Schizosaccharomyces pombe: one gene and its partners. Changing the gene in region 1 together with any one later gene gives a genetic interaction. Each region holds a gene or a part of one and is shown in the gene's direction. Other genes may lie near its edges.

Region 1 (4,999 bases):
TTTTAATAATACAATTTTTTCTTATTAACTAAAATCCTTACCCGATTAGGTGGGTGTTGTTCATCCATTATCTGTGCTACATTTAGAGAGAGACCTCTTTCCAAATCGATTACACTTTCATTTTCTATGTTTACACATCACTCATTTGTAAATAGACCTTCTAACTGGACAATAAAATTTTCTCAGTTTTTAAATTAAAGAAATGGAGAGTATTATACAATATTGCATGAATTGAAAACATTGAAGCGAAAGAGCGTGAACAAGGATTTCATCCTAACTCGTAAAGCAAATGTTCATTCTGCCTCGTTTGACATATCAGACGGAAGTCAAATCAAAGTGGATTTAAATTATAAAATAACTTGAAGTTTCATTTTATCATGTTTGCAGATTTTATTTACATTTCATCTCCACATTCCAATTGTATGCACATATGCAATACCCACTGTTACTGGTTCCTTTCTTAACGAAAATTATCGCCGCATACTAAAAAATATTTAATTTGTTTATTGTGACTGTAAATTAATTTGTGTTTTTAGATCTTTTATCGGGTTTCTTCAGGACGGGCTTGATGACACTTCGATTGTTTACAGAATATATCTATAGTTAAATTATTTAAACAACATTAGCAAGTCCAACCTATAATAAGGAAAATAAGCTCACTCTGGAAGTTCTACTGGTTTGGCCGATAATGTTTTTAGCAACATGTAACAGCGTTTACTATTGAATTTGTTTAAATTTCTTAAATACCATTTTGATCATAGCAATTCTGTTCGGTTGCTTATAATATTGCTCTAAATTATTTTTTATTTCACTTACTTCTTCTGCGTTTTATTTCTTGCTGACTGTAAATATGGTTAAATTGTTTTCAAAAACAAAGTATCAAATTTTTTTTTGTGCTTCTTCAGCGGACAAATGAATAGTAAAAACTGAAAGCGTGCTTTTTTGTTGGTAATAATGTTTGATTTACTCTTTTTTTTTTTTTTTTTTTTTTTTTTTTTTTGGCTCAGACCTTCTTGCTCATAATGATCTGGGCCATAGTACATCAATTTTCGAAGACAGTAATAAAGCAATTAAAAAAAAAAATTTTCGCCATTGATTCAAACTCACATCAGTTATCAATTAAAAAATTTCTTTACAGTTAATTTCTGCTATATTATTTTATTGAACCTTTTTAAATTCATTCAACCATTACGGAAGACACTAAATTTCCTTAAAGAATGAGTTCTGAGCTAAAGGATCAGTGGCCAGCTTTAAGAATAAGATATATTACGGCAAAGTTTCAGAATTATCTAAATATAATTTAATATAAATACATTTAACGATTATATTATGTATAGTATTATAATCCAATTAATTAATGGTAGCATATAATGACACGCAAAAGGGCTTAGTGAAGTCTTGCTGCTGACAATAAAGTGCATATAATGTTAGCTTCGCAGTTTGGTATCTGATTTAAGGATACATAGAACTGCGGTGAGTTTTCCTTGTGATCTATTATATTACAATACACAGGTTGTATGAGTAGCAACTGAGTATAGGTATTGTATTAACTAGGTTATAATGTTACCTATCACTAATATATCTTATAACTGAACTGAGGGACGAGGTTCAGTTGTTCTCAATTTATAATATTTGAAGTAGTAAGAATTATATCTGATAGTTATCTTATCATGAATGATATTATATCTCCATCTTGATGACTTATCATGTAATAGTTGATAGAGCAAATAGAACATTGTGAACATGTGACATATAGTGATATGCAACGTGGAGTATCATTGCGTAGTGTAGTATTGCTGACAATAACGAACTAAACCAGTATATTGTTATCCTACGCTAGCACCAGACTCAGCTGAGTTTACCAAGTAGGGCGATGCGATGAAGCAAAAGCATTCATTGCTTTAACCATGATAGAATGTCGCTTGAATTACCAGGAAACTACCGACTTTCCAGGCTTAAATCAATACAAATAAGAAATGTTCAAGAAATTCAAAATCATAGCAAATTTGCGATCAATACGACGGAAAATTTGTGGAAACGAGATGTGCAGTTAAAACGTGCAATTTCCGAAGGAACTATTCGTATTTTTATATCATTGCATGTGCAGAGTAAGAAATTGCCTGTTTATATTACTGAAACGAGCGGAAATGCTGTATGTGAACATGCTTTGATAAACAAAAGTATCTGAATGGTATCATTATATCTAGGTTATTTGCTTGATTGAAAAGGTTAATCAGTTTGTTTATACAAGTGATTTGCCAAAATTTCGTTGCTCAAATCCTTGAAACAAAGCCCTCAATTGATAGTTTATACCTTGTATCTCTTTTACCCATATACAAATTTTGTATGTATTTATGTTCTTTGTGTCTAACCTCTCATTAGAATCACATCTTTTACGTCGATGAAAAAGTAACCGAAAAGCTTCAAAAATACCGTCACGAAGAGTACTTTATCGTGAGGACTTGGTGCTCATCAAGTAGTCATGCCTTCAAGCTACATAAAGAATGGAAAATTTTGAGATATGACAGTAATTTTCGTTATATTGGTAATGATGTACGGTTGAATATTTTTGGTTTACCTTATGTTTCCCTTGTGTTGACTAACATATTATTTGTAGCCTGTTTTTGCAGTTTGTCATATTCGAAACGGTCTTTTATGTGAATTTAATGATGGCGTTTACATCTACACAACATCCCAGTCTTCGGATATTATGAGACAGACCTCCTTTCCAAAAAGTGCCTCCACATATTCTATAGACAGGCGGAAGGATGGTTACACTATTCAGAAAATCACTCGAATTTTGAAACTGGCTGAATGCATAGATGAAATGCACATTGCTAAACATGAAATTCGAGCTCATTTTCAGGAGGAGGAGTTTCAGCAGATACGTTTGATGCACAAAAGGATGTTACTTCGGGATGAAAAAATCGATGAACTGGCTAAATTAGAACATCTTTGGCAAAAACAAATTAATAGCATCACTCAGATGAGGACGAAATTTGACAAGACGAAAAGCTGGTTATCCTCAAAAAGGAACACTTTGAACAAATCCAAAGAATCCCTTCAAAAAGATGAAGCTGAGTATGTGGAACTTGCCAATTCTTTAAAAACAAAAGTAGAGACCAATATAGAGATTCGAATCCTTATGGCACATGCTATTCGTATGCACGTTTCCCATCTTTCCAAAATTTACCCAATCCAACCATCGCCTGGCAATCATGACGAGTTTACAATTCGCAATCTCCGCCTATCTTTTGAGCCAGATAAAATTAATAATGTGGAAATGGCTGCTTCCATAGGATTTTTGGCGCATTTACTTCAAACTCTTTCAAAGTATCTCGAAAAAGAACTCGCTTATCCAATTCTTTGCGCATCTTCGAGATCCTCCATCCTGGATACATTGACACCCGACATCCCCACGCGTATCTTTCCCCTTTATCCAGCAACTCGACCAATTGAGCTTTTTGAACATGCCATTTATCTTCTCAACCAGGATGTAAATGATTTTTTAGAAACTTTTGGATTACCTATTGACCAATCCATGGACATACTCAGGAACTTTAAAAAACTGCTCCAATTTATTTTATCAGGACAACATCTATCTTTTGTACAAGTAACGTCTACCGCTCCTTAACAATTCCATAAGCTTAGGCACCATAAGCCTAAATTATCGTTAATTGCAAAACTACGCATAACTTGTCTATCGTTTAATTGTATCTTTTCACCCTAGTTTACTCTCAACAATCAATTTCGTTTTCGTATTCTTTGTTGGAAATTCATATACCCATTTCACGGTTTAATTTTAATCATCTTAATGAAGAGTTTTTATGGACATTTGCCGAAGGCATATTACTCATTGTCATTGCGACAACTACTATACAATGCATTTACGTTTAAAATATAAAAATAAACAGATAATGATGAATGTAGATATTATAAATAGTTCCCTTAAATTAATAAAACTTGTGAATTAAAAAATAAAAAGAGCCATGTTCATTTTTTGATAGTTATGTGATGGTGATCGAGCTCTTCCGGTTACATCCGACCCACATATTCTAGGTATAGGCAGGCGGAGCGGGTCCTACACTTTCAAAAACTGGCGGGCATTCTTCATCCCAACTAATACCTAAACCAGCTGGCGTGGTAAGTGGCTGAACGACTGATACTCGTAAGATACGGGCATTGCCCATATTGTTTCCCGCAACGTTCTTTTTTCTATTAACAATGGTCTCAAAAATTAAATGATGAGAGACTTTTAAGGAAAAAGGGGCAGGAATTTCCACGTCACAGCTTGGCTCTCTTAAAGAAGATGTGTTAATTTGAGTAGATAGAAACATCTGATTATCAATGAACTTCCATCCCGATTGTAAATCTTGTGTACTCAAAATTCTTTTTTCTTCAATAGGTCGAGGTTTTACCAAATCACGATGGCGTTCACATGGTTGACAACTAAACTGCATATGCTCCTCCAATCTCCAAGTAACTCTATTGATCTTCCAATCGTTGCCGTCATTTTGGGCAAAACCAGTCATGGTAACTTCCATAAGCGCAGCTCCATGAGGATGCAAGGTACTGGGCAAAGTAATGTTTGCAACAAGATTCGTAGGGGGAAAGATACGTTTATGGATGGTATCAGGCGAAGGAATGGCAGCTCGCTTTAGTTGGAGAGGAAACTTAAGAACTTCGGGCTTCGAGGGAGAAATTCCGCCTTCAGGAGTACCATAGCATAACGTAGCTTCTAAATAATACTCAAGCTTGATGTATCTGTTAGAAACCGAAGCAGGAAGCGAACCAGGGAAAAGCCAACTAAAAGGCCAATGCTGAGTACCAGGTCTATATGTGGTATTTGCAGCTAAATCCCAAGTCTGTAAAACCTCTTTTGAACCCGCACAAGCAGAACAATGAGAGATTGCAGGATGAAGAACGGTGATCCTTTTTATGAGTTGCAGCTTGAGGGTATGTACTTTAATAAAAGGTTGATGTAAAATCGTCAGTTTTA
Region 2 (5,017 bases), on another chromosome or scaffold:
TGGATTGATGAGCAAAAGATGAACGGTTTACTTACCGTGAATGCTGGTTCCGATATTCCACCTCGTTTCTTAGAAGTACAATACATTGGTAAAGAAAAATCAAAAGATGATGGATGGCTTGGTTTAGTTGGAAAAGGTGTAACGTTTGACAGCGGTGGTATCAGTATCAAGCCTTCTCAAAACATGAAGGAGATGCGTGCTGATATGGGTGGTGCTGCTGTTATGCTTTCCTCTATTTATGCCTTGGAACAACTTTCCATCCCCGTGAATGCCGTGTTTGTTACCCCTTTAACTGAGAATCTTCCTTCTGGCTCTGCTGCTAAGCCAGGAGATGTTATTTTTATGCGCAACGGTCTTAGTGTAGAAATTGATAACACTGACGCTGAGGGTCGTCTTATTCTTGCCGATGCAGTTCACTATGTCTCTTCTCAGTATAAGACCAAGGCTGTGATTGAAGCCAGCACATTAACTGGTGCTATGCTAGTAGCCCTCGGTAATGTATTTACTGGTGCATTTGTTCAAGGAGAAGAGTTGTGGAAGAATCTTGAAACTGCTTCCCATGATGCTGGAGACCTTTTCTGGCGTATGCCATTTCACGAGGCTTACCTCAAGCAACTTACAAGTTCTTCAAATGCTGATTTGTGCAATGTTAGTCGTGCCGGTGGTGGTTGTTGTACAGCGGCTGCCTTTATTAAATGCTTCTTAGCCCAGAAAGATTTGTCTTTTGCTCATTTAGACATTGCCGGAGTTATGGATAAGCAGCTTAATTCTTGGGATTGTGACGGCATGAGCGGACGCCCAGTTCGCACTATTATTGAAGTCGCTCGCAAGTATTAGCTTATTTATTTTCTTGGCTATATGTGCAAACTTTATGTTTTTACTTATTTACTGTTGATTACACCAATCTCATTTTTCAATGTCCTTGTTAAGTGTATGTCAATGATATGTAGCTATCATGATTTTATTCTTTTTAATACTGTTTTCCACAACCGTTCATAACGGTTGTAAGGACCGAGTCTTTCTGATGGCTCTGGTTCTGTTTCCTTTAAAAATAAAATCAATTCGGTTGAAGTCTCATGTTGTTAAATTTCACTTTCGAAGTAGCGAATTTTTTTTTTCTATTTTGAATATAGATTTGTTTATTAAATGTAGTAATCAATTTACTCATGACTATTACTTTTGTCAAACAAAATCATAATACAAAACTAAATCTTTAAAGGTAGAATATTCTCCTGTGCGAGTTTACAATACTTTGGGATATGATCAAATCAATTTTTTTTAGATATCTGTTGAAATTTTTATAACAGTAATTTTGTATTATTTATCATACTATTTATTAGCGTTACCTGCCCTCTTAAATGTACACATCATGTGGGGGTGGGGGAACCAGTGCTGGAGATCACTTCTTGCTATACCGTTTGGCTCATGGCAACTATTGAGGATAGCAAGGAGCGTTACAATTTGCAAATCAATATGATAAACAGAAAAACAACAAGTTGAAGCTTAACACTGTAGCAATATAACAATGAAAAAAATAATCAGAATTAAAGCAAGAAGCCTATAAATGGTCCATCAATTGTGAAATCGATATTGCTAGATGTCAGGCAAATCGTGAACTCGGTTGAAAAATGTCGTTAATATTCATGTGAAATCATAATTACAGCAATATGTTCAAAGACTTTTGGATACTTTATAATAATGAGGATTCTATTTTTGAGTGGTCACATGGTCTCGTAACCATGAGGTACGCCTTACTTTTACGGACGAAACAATATTTCACATTCAGCTCTCAATGTTAAGTATCCAAACAAACATGGTACAAACCAATAAAGCATGTAAATTAATAAGCTTGAAATAAGGAATAGTCATTAAATTCAGTTTAGACATAATGTAAAAGGTATCAATTTTGTCTTTGGTATAGATACAATTAAGAATTTCGAGACGGAACGTTCGGTGATGTAGAGTTTTCATAATAATTTCTGCAGTTGCTTACACTAACCGAAGAATCGTCCAGTATAAACTGCTGACGATGCCTTAAATCAATAATTGCAAATTGCATAGTTGACGTTTTCCCGGGTGGCACATAGTGAGATTTGAGTCGAATAATGAAATAGCCTCTGACGAGTGGTTTCGTACCAAGAGTTTCAAAAAGAATAATCCACATTAACTCAATGTATCATTGATGACGGAATGTTGCTTATATAGCCAGAGTAACCCTGCTCTGAAGCATCTAAGGTTATATCTTTTTAACTTTTAGCTAGCAAACTCACTTGTTCCTTTAAGTTCAGAAAGTATCTGCTGGTTATTCAACAGATAATTATCTTGCGAAAAAGGAATACACACTCAGCATTGTAATTTGTTGAGTATATTTCACAAGCACATTAAATTGCATTATCAAACATGAGTGGGGATATTTTAGTCGGTGAATATCTATTCAAAAGGCTTGAACAATTAGGGGTCAAGTCCATTCTTGGTGTTCCAGGAGATTTCAATTTAGCTCTACTTGACTTAATTGAGAAAGTTGGAGATGAGAAATTTCGTTGGGTTGGCAATACCAATGAGTTGAATGGTGCTTATGCCGCTGATGGTTATGCTCGTGTTAATGGTCTTTCAGCCATTGTTACAACGTTCGGCGTGGGAGAGCTTTCCGCTATTAATGGAGTGGCAGGTTCTTATGCGGAGCATGTCCCAGTAGTTCATATTGTTGGAATGCCTTCCACAAAGGTGCAAGATACTGGAGCTTTGCTTCATCATACTTTAGGAGATGGAGACTTTCGCACTTTCATGGATATGTTTAAGAAAGTTTCTGCCTACAGTATAATGATCGATAACGGAAACGATGCAGCTGAAAAGATCGATGAAGCCTTGTCGATTTGTTATAAAAAGGCTAGGCCTGTTTACATTGGTATTCCTTCTGATGCTGGCTACTTCAAAGCATCTTCATCAAATCTTGGGAAAAGACTAAAGCTCGAGGAGGATACTAACGATCCAGCAGTTGAGCAAGAAGTCATCAATCATATCTCGGAAATGGTTGTCAATGCAAAGAAACCAGTGATTTTAATTGACGCTTGTGCTGTAAGACATCGTGTCGTTCCAGAAGTACATGAGCTGATTAAATTGACCCATTTCCCTACATATGTAACTCCCATGGGTAAATCTGCAATTGACGAAACTTCGCAATTTTTTGACGGCGTTTATGTTGGTTCAATTTCAGATCCTGAAGTTAAAGACAGAATTGAATCCACTGATCTGTTGCTATCCATCGGTGCTCTCAAATCAGACTTTAACACGGGTTCCTTCTCTTACCACCTCAGCCAAAAGAATGCCGTTGAGTTTCATTCAGACCACATGCGCATTCGATATGCTCTTTATCCAAATGTAGCCATGAAGTATATTCTTCGCAAACTGTTGAAAGTACTTGATGCTTCTATGTGTCATTCCAAGGCTGCTCCTACCATTGGCTACAACATCAAGCCTAAGCATGCGGAAGGATATTCTTCCAACGAGATTACTCATTGCTGGTTTTGGCCTAAATTTAGTGAATTTTTGAAGCCCCGAGATGTTTTGATCACCGAGACTGGAACTGCAAACTTTGGTGTCCTTGATTGCAGGTTTCCAAAGGATGTAACAGCCATTTCCCAGGTATTATGGGGATCTATTGGATACTCCGTTGGTGCAATGTTTGGTGCTGTTTTGGCCGTCCACGATTCTAAAGAGCCCGATCGTCGTACCATTCTTGTAGTAGGTGATGGATCCTTACAACTGACGATTACAGAGATTTCAACCTGCATTCGCCATAACCTCAAACCAATTATTTTCATAATTAACAACGACGGTTACACCATTGAGCGTTTAATTCATGGTTTGCATGCTAGCTATAACGAAATTAACACTAAATGGGGCTACCAACAGATTCCCAAGTTTTTCGGAGCTGCTGAAAACCACTTCCGCACTTACTGTGTTAAAACTCCTACTGACGTTGAAAAGTTGTTTAGCGACAAGGAGTTTGCAAATGCAGATGTCATTCAAGTAGTTGAGCTTGTAATGCCTATGTTGGATGCACCTCGTGTCCTAGTTGAGCAAGCCAAGTTGACGTCTAAGATCAATAAGCAATGAGCAAGCTATTGAGAGTGGAATTGGCAAACAAAGTTTCCTTTGATTTATATGTTTTTTATGATAAGCCCATTCAATTCATATAGTCTTTTAGTATAATGATTAGTTATTAAATTTATGTTTAAAGCAACTTTTTAGTTTAAAATTTTTCAAGTCAAGTTAGGGTGTACGTAAACAAACAATACCTTGGAAGCAATGAATGAAAAGGTAGAGTTAATCCAAACAATGTGGAAACCAGTTTCCTTGCATCTACTTACTAGTTTCGCAGAAAAATTGCTAAACTGCTTAAAAGCCAACTTTAACATTCTTATTTCTTACATAGGAGCTACCGTTCCATTCACATTGTGATATGCTAAGAATTTATTAGTTTTACAAAAATTGGGTGATTCTACTATTTAATACAGTGGTTTTGTAACGTAATGAAATTATAACGCTCGTTTATTACGATTTCCTAGGTAATGTAGCGGGTAAAGGCAATTGACTGATATTATGTATCACTCTATCACAGCAACGGACGAACGGTTTGCGTTGTTGTTTATAAATGGTTCTGCAACGCAGCTTCTGACTTTGACACTCTACACCACACCATACTTCAGCGCTCTATTCTTTCGCATAGGAAGGTAAGCTGCATTTCGTGGCGTTTGGTACCTTGAAAAAATATATTTTGGTTAATATTCGTTGGCTTTTTCTTTTAATTCTTGCTACTAATTCCAAGAATTGTGTAAGTATAGGAAGAGGCTGTGTTGATCGGTTAGTTTCGTAATTTCGGCATACTAGTGATTCCTAAAATACCGACTACTAATAATTATAAAGCTTAGATCACTTCTTTGGCTAAAGTAATTAAACCAGGAAGTCTTAAAATTCCGCTTTTTAGCATCCTAAAAATTTCCCCGTCATTTCTCAA
Region 3 (5,348 bases), on another chromosome or scaffold:
AGCTAATTAAATTGTATCTTTAGCAATCAGATTCTCCTGATCTTAAAAATAAAATATGAATAGATTGTACTTTGAGTTGACTTAAATTTCTCATAAGTCTTGTCCAACTAGATTCGGATTGAAAGTAATCTTCAAAAATACAACAGTAATACATTTTCCGATCATGCTAATTGACTGTACGACGTAACATTTTCTATGTTATTTTGTAGTATTACAATATTATTTTTGTTTCAATGCGCCCACTAGTGAAATTTTATTATTAGTTCAACAAAATTTATCTAAAAGGTATTTTTATTGAATGATTAACTTTAGTCAACAATTTTTTATTTTCTCAATCGCAACGCTGAATTTCTTTGTTTTCTGACTGATGATGCTTAAATGTGTGCTGCAAATTTGCGTCGCGTTAACCTTTCCATCCAATTTGCTATTCCACGTACACCAATCGAAATAAGTATTGATGTCGTTCAAAAGGAAAGCAGCACCTCAAATAGCACCAACAAACTTGCCGACAGGCGTTAGACTATCTTCAAAGGATGCTAGATGGATTACAAGCTCTGGGAGTTCTTCTTTTGACTACTATTTGTCTGGCGGCATTCCAATGAAAAGTTTGCTGGTTATAGAGGAAGATTCGATGGATTATGCTTCTGTGCTACTTAAATTTTTTGCAGCGGAAGGCCTTAAACAGGACCATGTTATTTGGCTTGGTCCATCTATTGGAGAGATGTGGTTTCGTCAACTTCCAGGCGACAGCGACCGGCCTAATAAAAACGAAAATTCAGCTGGAGAGGATAATCATTCTTCTCCTCCCTCTAAAAATCCCCAGCAAGAAAGAATGAAAATTGCCTGGAGGTATGAACAAGTCTCCAAAACCAAGGCACCGACCCTTGATATGATTCCTCCTGGCTATACTCACTCCTTTGATTTGTCAAAGAATTTGATAGTGAAAAGCGATATGAAATACGCTGTTTCTCCATTCCCTTTGGAAACAGGGTCTAATCCTTACGCCCCTGTCATTGAAAGTCTAACGAGATTCTTATCTACTCTGACTCCAGGTACGGTATGCAGGTTAGTTCTTCCATCCATTTTGTCCCCAGCCTTCTATTCTATCCGTGCTACTCATCCGCAGCATTTCATAAGATTTATTCACACACTTTCATCGCTCATCAAATGCACTACTTCGGTGCACTTGATATGTATGTGTTCAGTTCCTTCTACTTTGTTTTCAAGAGATTGCGAGCAAATTTTTTGGCTAGAAAACCTTGCATCCGCCGTATTCTCTTTGCATCCTTTCCCGGTCAAAGAAACTGTTAACGGTTTAGTTACACAACCATTAGGACTTTTCCGTATCCATAAGCTTCCCTTAGCACTTCCATTTACCAATCATGCAAACTCTAATGAAGCTGGAGACCTCTCATTTACTGTATCGAAAAGAAGATTTACCATTGAACCATGGGTCCTTCCTCCACTGGATGATGAGCAAAAGGATACGAAGATTTCAAACACGAATCCTCAAAAACAGCCTGTTAAATCTTTGGATTTTTAGACAATTAAAAAACCTCTAAGTTTCTGAGTATTGAATTGGATTAAAATTCTACTCGTTTTCGTGTTATGTGATATGGTTATGGTTTGTAAATGGATTTTATAATTTTTTTTGGATGCATTGCATTTGTGTTATTTATTGTTCATACGAGTTTAAATATTTTTCATTTCTCCCGTCTAGATAACTGATCAATTATCTAAATGTTCGTCAAATGGGATAAACGTTCTCTCAATCAAAACTTTAAAACACAAGTTAATATAGAATGCGAACTGAAAGCCGTCAAATATCTCTACGAAGAACCGTTACTGTGATCTTAAAGCAAAGTGCATGAAATACTTGTAAGTAAATGACATTTTAAATCTTAAACAGTGTTAAACCGTTGAAATTTGAAGGATACAATTATTTTCTCTATTAAAACAGTTCTGAAGTAAATTGTTGATGATTGTTATCAAAACATTGTCAATCTGTTGGTACTAACAGTATTTGACATCTAAGCAAATTAAAGAGACAAATCAAAAAGTTTTCGCGTATTCGATTTTTCTCTTTAATTCTAGTCGCATTATCTTTTAAGTCAAGTGACCAAAATTAATGTGATTATTCCAATAGTCCGTATGAATGGGTCCTTAAATTCGTCTCAATTTACTTTTTTTGCATTTTGACAGAGTTCACTATATAGTGATTTACCACCTAAAAATGTGCTACCTATACATTCGCTAGTTGTTAAACATTGAGTTGAATGTTCATAATCCACTACAAACGTTCATTCAATGTTTCAATTAAGTTAAATAGAGGTTCATTGATAAGACAGATACATATATTTAACTGAATTTTATTGATGTATATCTTGGGAACATATGCCATATTGAAATTGTTCACATCGCCATAGTGCGCTTTCAACCATCAACAAACAAAAGGCAAATTGGGCTGGTTTGATGAAAATATCCATCTTCAGAGTCGAAGTTATTTAATATCCAGTCTTATAGACAAAGAGACATTTTGTTAAGAAAAATAAGTGCAGGTGGCTAAAAATGGTTCGAAAGTATGGAATTTTCATCGACGCTGGATCTAGTGGTTCAAGACTTCTAATTTATTCTTGGGACTATGATACCGATTCCTCTTTAAGTGATAAAGTAAAAAAATTACCATTAATCGAGACAGGGATTGGGGATGGTGGTAAATGGTCTTTAAAGGTTCAACCTGGAATTTCTTCCTTTGCCAATAACCCTAAGCATGTAGGGAAGAAGCATTTGAAAGAACTCCTGGATTTTGCTGCTCATGCTATTCCCAAAGATGTACATAAAGAAACTCCGGTTTTCCTAAGTGCTACAGCTGGTATGCGTTTACTGGGCGTTGATGCCCAAAACAAAATACTTTCGCATGCTTGTAGATATATTAAAAAGAATTACGATTTCGACATACCTAATTGCTCAAATTCAATCCGTGTAATTGATGGCAAAGCTGAAGGTATGTATGGTTGGCTAGCTACGAACTATCTCCTTAAGACACTTGAAGAAAAAGATACGTCAACGGTTGGTTTTTTAGATATGGGCGGTGCGAGTGTGCAAATTGCTTTTGAACTTCCCCCATCTCAGCTCAAAAATTACAAGGATAGTATTTCGACCGTTCACATAGGACTACAAAATGGTCAGCAATTGGAATATCCTTTGTTTGTTACTACCTGGCTCGGTTTTGGCGCTAATGAAGCTTACCGCAGGTATTTGGGACTGTTAATAGAAAGCGAAAACGGAAAAGTTGGCAACACTTTAAGCGATCCGTGTTCCTTGCGTGGACGAACTTATGATATCGATGGGATCGAATTTGCCGGTACTGGAGATTTGAAACAATGCTTGAAACTGACTTACAATCTATTAAATAAAGACAAGCCATGCTCCATGGACCCTTGTAACTTTGATGGAATATCTATTCCTCCTGTTGATTTTGCAAATACTGAATTTGTTGGGGTCTCGGAATTTTGGTATACGACTAATGATGTGTTTGATATGGGCGGTAGCTATCATTTCCCTAATTTTTACAAAAAAGTTGACGAGTATTGTGGTACAGAGTGGGAAACCATGCTTTCCCGTCTTTATAATAAAGAGCTGACTCCAAGTACTGATGAAAACAAGCTTGAAAAGCTTTGTTTTAAAGCATCATGGGCGTTGAATGTCCTTCATGAAGGATTCGACGTTCCCAAGTCAAATACAAGTAGTAATGATGCAAAGGATGGGCTCTCGGTAATTCCTGCGTACCATTCTCCATTCACGAGTTTAGAAAAAATAGAACGCACCGAAGTGAGCTGGACCTTAGGCCAAGTATTGCTTTATGCATCAAATCAGCAACTTCTAGCAAAACCGGAATATGCTAATTATTATATGGACCCATACGGAAAGCTAATCGCATCCCCTTCAAAACATTGGATGAGGTTATTTCCTAATAAATTGTTCTTTATTCTTTCATTTATTTTCTGCTTATTCTTTCTGTTCTCTTTGGTTTTGTTCGGGTATGATCCGAAAAGGCGCCAACGTTTCAAAAAATTCCTTCTGCGCTTGCAACGTCGCAAGGCTCCGTACATTATGTCTGCAAATGGAAGTTATGAGGATATAGCAGATTTTTCTGATGATTTAGAAATGAGCAGTCCCTCTAAGTGGCATGGACCCCCGATACGTACCACTTCAAGCCATGTTCTCGCAGACAGACTTTCGTTTACTGCTAGTCGAGAGAGAACGCCTAGATCCCCTTTTCCTTAATATTCTTTACCCGTAATTTTAGGGATGGACAGCTTTCTGCTGCACTTATATGTTTCTTTTAGCTTTTTTGTCATTTTTTCGTTCGTTCTTAAAGAGAAAGCTGTGAATTTCAGTTGCTTCTCTATTTCACTTTCAGTACTTCTTTCATTCATAATACACCTAATTAACCAAACCATATTAATCACTCGTCTCAACATTATGTAGGCGTGCCAGTCCTTTGTTTACTCGTATGAATATTTTTATCAAGTCAGCAAAAACTCCTAAATGTCCATTTTACACTTGCGATATTTGAGTCATATCTCTTCTAACCGCTTGTGGCAGTTAGCATAATAATCATCATCGATTTTATTAAATTTGAGATAAAGCATATAGTTGAATTGGGTAAACTAAATATAGCAACCCCTAAGGTAAAACATGTTTGATGTATGGAAAATTACATATGTTAGTTATTTTAAATTTTAAACCATTACAATCAAGACCTCTTTTCAACCTTTGTTAATATGATAAAAAAGAGCAATCTGTATCTTAATATATCGAACTCAAACAAATGAAGCTATATTAAATAATATCAAAGTGAAGCAACTTTTATGATTCATCCTATGCATTGAATATAACTAATCTGCCTAATTCGAACATTCTAAATCTGCAAGATAAATAATTTTGAAAGTAGAATCTCCATAAATTTTCTTAAAAAACTAGCATTTGAAGTGTAGCTTATTTGAACAAAAAAGACCCAAGTCTTTGTTAGTTCACGAAAGAGCATTTTAATGCGTCGGTAGGCAATTAAATAGTGTTAAGAGTCTTAAAAAATCATGACGACCTTAATAGTCTTTACAAATTTATTGATTTAGCTTGAAAATTAGAGCCCTCAAGCATCAGTAGTTATGTACTCAGAAATTGTGATGCACAACAAGACATTGAATCTTTAGTTTTTTAAGATGCTAGCAAAAAAATTTTACTTAAATTTTTTTTAAGTAACTTAACAAGTACAACAATTCTGGAGTTCTTTGATTACTAAAAAGGGCACATTAATTAATATCGATATAATATTTGTCAAAGGA

What was found. Genes that interact genetically often act in the same process or in processes that back each other up.
Region 2: mutations in vps38 (region 1) and pdc202 together harm fitness more than expected from each alone (negative genetic interaction), as found in Schizosaccharomyces pombe (one large-scale study listed by BioGRID).
Region 3: mutations in vps38 (region 1) and ynd1 together harm fitness more than expected from each alone (negative genetic interaction), as found in Schizosaccharomyces pombe (one large-scale study listed by BioGRID).

The regions. Positions count from the first base shown.
Region 1 is NC_003423.3:1,804,347-1,809,345, forward strand, and holds vps38 (phophatidylinositol 3-kinase complex subunit Vps38), read left to right. Parts: upstream 1-1,884; 5' UTR 1,885-1,915; coding exon 1,916-2,152; intron 2,153-2,382; coding exon 2,383-2,553; intron 2,554-2,617; coding exon 2,618-3,634; 3' UTR 3,635-3,971; downstream 3,972-4,999. Other genes in the region: arrestin-related substrate adaptor Any1, read right to left, coding at 4,056-4,999. UniProt on the Schizosaccharomyces pombe protein: Involved in endosome-to-Golgi retrograde transport as part of the vps34 PI3-kinase complex II. Mediates the interaction between atg6 and the pik3-ppk19 core complex, leading to the recruitment of atg6 to the membrane.
Region 2 is NC_003424.3:583,197-588,213, forward strand, and holds pdc202 (pyruvate decarboxylase), read left to right. Parts: upstream 1-2,400; coding exon 2,401-4,116; 3' UTR 4,117-4,299; downstream 4,300-5,017. Other genes in the region: ysp2 (peptidase family M17 cytoplasmic leucyl aminopeptidase yspII (LAP yspII)), read left to right, coding at 1-837.
Region 3 is NC_003421.2:1,459,448-1,464,795, reverse strand, and holds ynd1 (nucleoside diphosphatase Ynd1), read left to right. Parts: upstream 1-2,289; 5' UTR 2,290-2,568; coding exon 2,569-4,287; 3' UTR 4,288-4,630; downstream 4,631-5,348. Other genes in the region: translation initiation factor eIF2B alpha subunit Gcn3, read left to right, coding at 1-23; elongator complex subunit Elp4, read left to right, coding at 458-1,543. UniProt on the Schizosaccharomyces pombe protein: Catalyzes the hydrolysis of phosphoanhydride bonds of nucleoside tri- and di-phosphates. Required for Golgi glycosylation and cell wall integrity. Involved in N-mannosylation of proteins in Golgi.